2 linked regions of the Nothobranchius furzeri genome follow. The protein of the gene in region 1 interacts with the protein of each later gene in a pairwise test. Links are inferred from orthologs where the notes say so. Each region holds a gene or a part of one and is shown on either strand. Other genes may lie near its edges.

What was found.
Region 2: the proteins of tfg (region 1) and protein boule-like interact in binary tests that used the Homo sapiens proteins (3 or more experiments, as listed by UniProt). The two-hybrid records come from large-scale screens. The link is inferred for Nothobranchius furzeri from reciprocal best matches to the Homo sapiens genes TFG and BOLL.

The regions. Positions count from the first base shown.
Region 1 is NC_091754.1:27,499,524-27,503,023, reverse strand, and holds part of tfg (protein TFG), read right to left. Parts: coding exon 3,408-3,500; intron 2,867-3,407; coding exon 2,699-2,866; intron 2,616-2,698; coding exon 2,469-2,615; intron 1-2,468. UniProt on the Homo sapiens protein: Plays a role in the normal dynamic function of the endoplasmic reticulum (ER) and its associated microtubules. Required for secretory cargo traffic from the endoplasmic reticulum to the Golgi apparatus.
Region 2 is NC_091754.1:47,836,584-47,840,652, reverse strand, and holds the start of protein boule-like, read right to left. Parts: upstream 2,801-4,069; 5' UTR 2,499-2,800; coding exon 2,475-2,498; intron 2,162-2,474; exon of another isoform or gene 2,066-2,161; coding exon of another isoform or gene 2,060-2,065; intron 1,965-2,059; coding exon 1,818-1,964; intron 1,736-1,817; coding exon 1,644-1,735; intron 1,571-1,643; coding exon 1,516-1,570; intron 1,441-1,515; coding exon 1,365-1,440; intron 1,292-1,364; coding exon 1,134-1,291; intron 1,053-1,133; coding exon 984-1,052; intron 898-983; coding exon 745-897; intron 662-744; coding exon 590-661; intron 514-589; coding exon 475-513; 3' UTR 1-474. UniProt on the Homo sapiens protein: Probable RNA-binding protein, which may be required during spermatogenesis. May act by binding to the 3'-UTR of mRNAs and regulating their translation.

The sequences.
Region 1 (3,500 bases):
GTGAAATCGGTTTTCTCTCTTGTTCTAATCATCTGCAGTCCATCATGAAGACTGTTATGTAGGAGGGATGGAAAGATGGCGGTTAGAAATCTTAGGGCCTGGATGGGAGTAGTCAAGGGTTCAGCATCAGGAAAAACCAGTGTATAAACACTATTTTCACTAGAAGTGAAAGAGAAGCAGTTCACTTTAATCCTCTGACATCTTTGCATGCCTCCACCAAAACAAGCATTTCCCACCAAACACAATTGCCCGTCTGAAAAAGAAGCCACATGCATTTTGTTTTCTTTCCTGCAGCGATGTGAATCATTGCTACGGCTCACTCATCCATCAGGTCTTATCTTTACCATCTGCTTATAAATCCTGTCTGCAGCGTTCTTCTGGTATTAAGAAACCTAAGCTTGTGTTGAAGGTATGCTTCCGACCACACTGAAAATGCCACACATCTTGAAATCTTAAAGGACTTGTATCATCATCACAAATTTACACCTTCCAGGGCAACAGTAGGCAGAATATATGATAAAATACTACCGCTGGCACCATTAAGATGTCTTTTTAATGAACTATAAGTTATTTTGAGAACCATTACTTCAACCAGAAAAGAAGATGCTTGGATTAGATCAAACCCTGCCTCTACTTGTGTGAGTTCCACAATAGTTTACAGCTGCAGACCTGGAGACGGCAGATTCACGCCGACCCCTCTGCTACTGGCTGTGGATTAACAAGCCGTCTGTGAAATCGTGGTCACACTCTGGCTCAGTTATTGAGAGCTCCTGAAACTAAAATCCAACCATTTCTGCAGGAAGACAGGAATCCTGTACCTCTTGGACAAAAATCCATTTTTGTAATATTTAAAATGCAGACTAAATAAAAAAGAAATCCCTTAATCACAACTGTGGAGTATAATCTCCCCATGAGCTACACAGAGACGCTGGGCGTTAGTGTTTACAGTCCAGGGGAGGAAGGATACAGAATCGAGACTATGTAAATGGGGAGAAGTGGAATTTAATAACAACATTGTTCCATCCAGGCTTTTGCAATAGCTTAGCAGAGTTTACCAGATCTGAAGGGAAGAAGCAGCTGAGATAGGAAAAAGCACGTGCTAAGCCAAAAAGCTGCTTTGTTTTTTTTTTAAAGTAAACAACAAGGTCAAAAGCTCTAGAAAAAGAATTTTGGATGACATAGGACCTTTATTAGAGCTGTCTAAACTGGCTTGGAGGACGTTACACTAACAGTGCATCTAAAACAGAAGGTTAAAGAGGAGACTGTGCAGAGCTGAGTTTGTCTTTAAGCACCAACCATCAGCAGCCTTGGAACCAAGAAGAGAAATATCATGGACCAGATGAGACAAACTTACCACATTGGGCTTGGAAATGTTTAACAACAAGATAAGTCCATATCTCCAACCACAGCTAATTTAAGAAGCGAAAGAATGAATCTTTGCTGGCCTCTTATGGCAAAGTAATTTACAGTCTAAACTTAGACGAGAGACTGAACAGAAACAAATAAACCGGCTGCTTTCCTGAGAGGTTACAGTTAGCTTTTATTTGAAATGACTAAACTAAGTTAGCTGGTTAAGTTCTGTGAATCAGACCATCAACCTTTAATGTGTCTTGTGTGACTCTGTTCAACAGAAGAAAAAACAACCCAGCATAAGCGTGTAACAACGCCAACAATAACAAACACGTTGGCCTTAGATGTTGCACCTGTCTTTTCTCCAAACATTAAAAAAATGAGCTTTAATTTTGAAAACAAACAAACAAAAACCCCAGAATGGAATCATGTGATTGGCATGCAGGACTATTTTCTTCTGTGGTGCACTTAAAAATGTTTTTCCAACAGGCAGCCAGTGTTTTGTTCATTTTTCATTATCAAGGCTTTAGCTTTGTCCAAACACCACGATAAGGTTGCCTGAGATTAATTTCCTGTCAAAGATTACACAGTTTAGATTAGCTGGGGTCATCACTCATTCAACTATTTCTTCAGACACAGAATTTCATCTAAAGTCCTCGAAAAGGAAACAAGCCCTCAGTGCATGTAGAAATGTGTAAAGAATGACCTGCGCCGAAACGTTTCAATTTCTCTCCATTTGGTTTGTTCAAATCCAAATATTGTTTTACTTCACAAATCAGCACCAAATAAAGTCAGTTAGGGAAATAAACTTGGGTCTAATAATTATGACAAATAGTAAATAACTGCATGAAACTTTAAAAATAGTCTCTAAAAAAGAACAATGTAAATATATTTTTTGCTTCTCCGAGAGGCTTTTTTGTTACTTTGTGCCTTATAACCTTTATTTACATATTTTTACTATACTTTTACTTTATTTTTTTATTGTGATAGTGTACAGCACCGTGGGCTACTACAAAGGTAGTGGAAGATGCTATAGAAATAAAATACTGATGAATATTACCAACTTATTTTCCCATCTTTCATAATTTGACCACAAATTTGAGTAAAATGCTTCTCACCATCCATTCCAGCTGGGGGTCCCTGCTGCACTCCAGCATAAGCAGCCTGTGGCTGAGGCGGCACTCCTGGCTGAGGTGCTGCAGATGAGGAGGAAGCGATGCTGTCAGGTGTTCCTGAGCGCTCGTCAGCTGCAACTGCTGGGACAGCTACTCAAAAAGCAGACACATCAGGAAAATCATGCTTTACATGAAAGGCTCCGACTTATCTGCATTTACACAATGTGGAATACCTGAAGCTTGGTCCTCACTTAGACCAAAAGAAGAAATTACATTCTTGTTGACCTCGTCCTGGTTCTTTAATGGGTCAAAGGCCGACATGCTGGCTGCGCTGACTGGAGGAGCCTGTTTAACTGTGGAGTCTGGAGCTGCAACTTTACCATCGCGTCCATCTACCGACTCTAAAAATGCATCAAGTTGAAGTAAACATTCACTTATAAAAGGGGGAAATACACGCTTGCATCAATCACTTTGCTTTGATTTTACTGTATTTTATTCAAGTATCTCAAGTATAAAGCTTTGAATATCAGTGCAATCTGAAAAGAGCTCCTTCCTGATGTCATGCACAGCTGTGGGCAGGTTAGACCGCAAGCAAACCAGACAGAACTGGCCTGTTGCAAAATCAGTGCTTTGATTCAGGCAAATATTCTATAAAAATGGTACTTAATTGTTCCATCAGTGACCAACAAATATAAACTGTCTCACTTGGCTGTCAAATATAAAAAAAACATGATTTAAGGAGGTCAAAATTTTCATTTTAGTAAGAATAAGAGCAAAACAGAAGCACAAAAGAATAATAATAAAACCACACCCTCTTGCTGGACACATGAATGCTTTTATTAAAACAACTGTACCCACAGGTGCAGATGGAATGACTGCAATTTTAGAAGAAATAAGGAATATCTTCATATGTTCAGATACCAAGCATGAACAGGTGCTTACCACTTTCTGGTGCCGTAGAAGTCATACCAGGCTCTAAGGGGGGCTCCAGGCTGTCAAGGAGGTTGTTAACTTTATTCCTGAGCTCTATAAGCT
Region 2 (4,069 bases), about 20 Mb from region 1:
GCCGTTTGTCCACAGAGGATTTAAAACAGTCGTGTTTGTGTTTCAGAGACGGATAAAAGACAAAATCTGAAACGTTTCTCTAGATTATCATCTTTAAAATCCCAGATTAACTGGGTGGGAAGCCCCGCAACCACCGAGCATAAAAGATGTGATTAAATCTGACAGGAAGCACTTCCTGCCTCAAACGATAACTTTAAAACCAACAGTCACCTGGAAATGATCTTGTTTCCTGCAGCCGAAGGCGCTGAGATTATTCTAATCTCTGTTAATCCGACTGATGTTTGAGGGGTTGTGAATTTAAGGCACCTGTAGCATCCTTTTGTTTGAGGCGCCCCCCCCCACATCAGGCTGTCAGCGGGTTTAGTGATGGAGGCGTGGAACAGGTGGACTGCTGAGGGTGACGCGTGCCTCTTCAGGAGCAGGGAGGAGTGAGACGTGGTGACATCAGGTGGCTGCGTGGACTCAGACGCTTCGTTAGTGCCGGGGGACGATGGCAGAAGGAAACACCTGTTGCTATGGAGACAAAAGGTAAACAAATGAGACGTGAGACCTTTCAGGTGCTGCTTACAGCTCAGGAATGTTCCTTTACCATTCCTGGATCGCCTCGCTGAACATCTGGCGTCCTTCTGGAGTAACCATGAGGCCCCGCTGTGTCCACCACCTAGAGACGAGAGAACAACAAAGTCCAGGTGAAACAAACCAGATGTTTATATCTGACCGCCATGTCTTTAGAAGACTCTGGACCTCTGCTGGAGCGTCCTCCCACACAGGCCCAAAGGGCAGGAAGAGGGGTCCATCAGCGGGCTGGTACAGATACTCGGACGGCTGAGGGTACATCACTGCGCCAGGGGGCACAGGCACCTCCACGGTATTCCACGGATACGGATTTGGGAAATTCTGCAGGGAAGCAGAAAGAAGGTTTTAGGTGCACGGGGACGCGGACGACTGCGAATCAGTGAAAGCAGCGCTGGTTGTGAACGGACCTGGAAGTGGTGGTACTGCTGCTGGTGAACGTGCTGATGGGACGGAGGCAGCATCAGGTTAGGAGCCGGCTACAAACCAAAGCAAATCTGTGTTTCCTTACGTGGTTAGCTGCTTCGGACGCATCCTAGTGAAGGTGGTTTCGTACTCACGGGCCAGAACTGCACATCTGGGCTCACGTTGGCACAGTGGAAGTACGCCATCCCATTGTTGTAGGTGTAGGGGAAACCTGTGGAGGTGGACATGACGAACGTCCCACAGGATACCTGAGGCACGGCGGGTCCAAGCGGGGTCATGTGGGTTCTCCTGGCTGCAGACAAAGCCAACAGTTACAGAGTCCGTCTGACCCAGCGGCTCGTTCGCTTCGGTTGTTCCAGACTCACGTCTTCCTGAGCCCTGCGGCCTTTTTATAGCACGGGCGATGCGGAGGATCCTGTCTCTGCAACGGATCCCACTCCTCTGTAAGAAACAAGTCCAGTAAGTTTGGATAAATCACCACAAACCCAATCGTCTGCAGCAGAGCCGACCACTCACAAGGCTCAGGACTCTCATGGCGTCTTCAGCTGTCTCAAACGTAACAAACCCGTACCTGTTCAGAGAGGAGAGCGCTCAGGAAACAAGCGGATGACTGGAATTCTGTCAGAAACACCACAAACACACACCCTTTTGATATTCCTGACCGATGTGACACGATCTTCACCTCCTTCACTTCCCCGTACTGCGAGAAGACCCGTCGCAGGTCGCTTTCATCAACCTTGAAGCACAAATATCTGCATTTTTTACGGCGTTACTGTTTAAAACCACTTGTTTCTGTATAGGAGACGGAAAAACCTCACCTCATCACCGATCCGGCCGACGAAAATCCCGTTAGGAATGATGGTGCCAGGGGTGTGGGTGAGACAGCTGGGGGCGTTGGCAGGGTCTGCTGGGAGTAAGACATCCGGGAGAAAGGAGGTGCCTCTGCTGAGGTGGGAGGACAGCGGCTGCAAAAAGAAGTAAGAGGGGTTTAAGCTGCAACGGTTTGGAAAAATCAGAAAGACGAAAGAAAACAATCATTATTAACTCTTCAAAAGACAACCAGCATAAAAGGGTCTTTTCAAGGTCACCGGCGGTCAGGAAGCGTAAACATCAGTCAGCTGCAGCTAACCGCCAACAAAACTCCTGTTTCATCTTAGTTCGTCAGTCTCTCTTAACACAAAACAACCGAGTTCATATTTTAGAGTAAAAAAAAAAAACGGAAACTGTTGGTAAAACGTGTCTGAACCTGAAATTGTAGCTTATTTGTTAGCATCTTAGCACCGCAAACGGGTCAAACTTTTACATTTTATGCTTTTTTACGATCGAAAAAACAAAATAGAAGTCTAAAAAAATAATGTATAATTAAACTTGAATTATAAAATTGTTATTGACGAGACGAAATCCAAACGTAACCATTTGTCAACTTGCTCGATAGTTTCTTTGCCTCCTGTTAGCAAATAAATGACGGGACTCACCGTGCCTTGGTCTTCCCTCTGCATTGTGGCGTTAATCTGAGTAGTTTATGACTGAAGATGAATAATCTCTGCAGACTGCAGGAACTGAGATGAAACAGGACCGAGCGCTTTAGCGGTTCTACTTCGACGGTTGCTTCCAAGGTTACGGCTCTTCCCCTGACGTCAGTTGGCAAAATAAAACGTTGGAAGTATTTTTTTTCCACTGAAGAAGTTAAATAATATAAAATCCCAATGCAAATGCGATATAACTATAAATGCAATATTTTTTATGTTTAAAAATGTATTGAAGTTAGTTTGGCGAACTAAGCTAAGCTAACTAAGCTAAACGCAAAAGCGGAAATGTACTGCACTTTCTGTCCGCTGGAGGGCGCCAAATATTTCCGTTCAGCAAATCGAGTTTATTTAAACATTTTTTAGAATATTTCCACACAAAATGACACAAAGTGATACTTGTTTTGAAGCATTTTTTTAAATAATTAGTCTAAAAGTTGTTTTTTTAATGTTTTAGTAGAAAACAGCCGAGTTTTCTGGGTAATAATTTACTTTGTGATTGATTTTTAACGTACAAAGCTTTATCTCCATGCAGTCTCAGTGGAACACGGTAAGATTAATTTAATAAAAATTAAATGAACTGCGCAATAAATATTTAGAAGTAAAAGGAAGAGCAAATGTTAAAACGTGGGCAAAAATGAACATTATTGCAGTATAATTTCCTGCCACACAGTGGCGACATTTCACTGCAAATATGATAGTTTCTGTTTCCATGAAGTTTGAAATGTTTGTGGCTGAAATGACGATTTGTACCATCTAATTTCACCAATTAATGTTTGGAGCCACAAAAGATATCCAAATATTCATATATACTGATAAATCACTAATTTATGTTGAACATTAAAACAGTTGTTCAGTGCAAAACTCAAGCATTTAATGCAGAGCATCCTGCTGAGAACGACCCACTTGACAACTTGCAGTGCTGCGAAAATGCATTTGTCTCCTTACAGCTTTATCTTGTTTTTGCTTTTCTGCCTCACTTTATTCACATGTCACAAAAGTTTTAACTTTGATGCAAACACCCACTTCGGAATAACAATTAACATGAGGTGTTAATGGTGATTTTAAAAGCTTGTGTCTGCTTTGGATGTTTGTCTGATGGAGCTATAATTTGTCAGTGATTGCTGTCATTTACACACCCCCACCTTTCCCTTCTCCTCCCTTAGGCCACAACAAAGCCGCTGCACAACAAACAGTTCACAGGTAAAATAAACTATTTTTGTTATATTTTCATAAACCTGCATGTTTGAGTTTCTTTTTAACAGAAAATGCAACATGCCATGAGTGTTTCCCACCATCACCGCCCTCATCTGAGTAATGTGGGCAGCTCCATTACTTGTCACTCATCTACAGCCTTTTCTAATTACCGGGTGAATGTGCCAACGAGGTCTGGCTGTGCAAAATGAGAAGGGCATGTTTGATAATTACAGCCATTTACAGCTAAACATCCTTTTGTGTTCCCTGGTGATCATTAAGTGCAGCTTTGAGACGAACTTTTACATGATCCGAGTAAGAGAGAAGAATATCCGATCAGATGTCCCCTT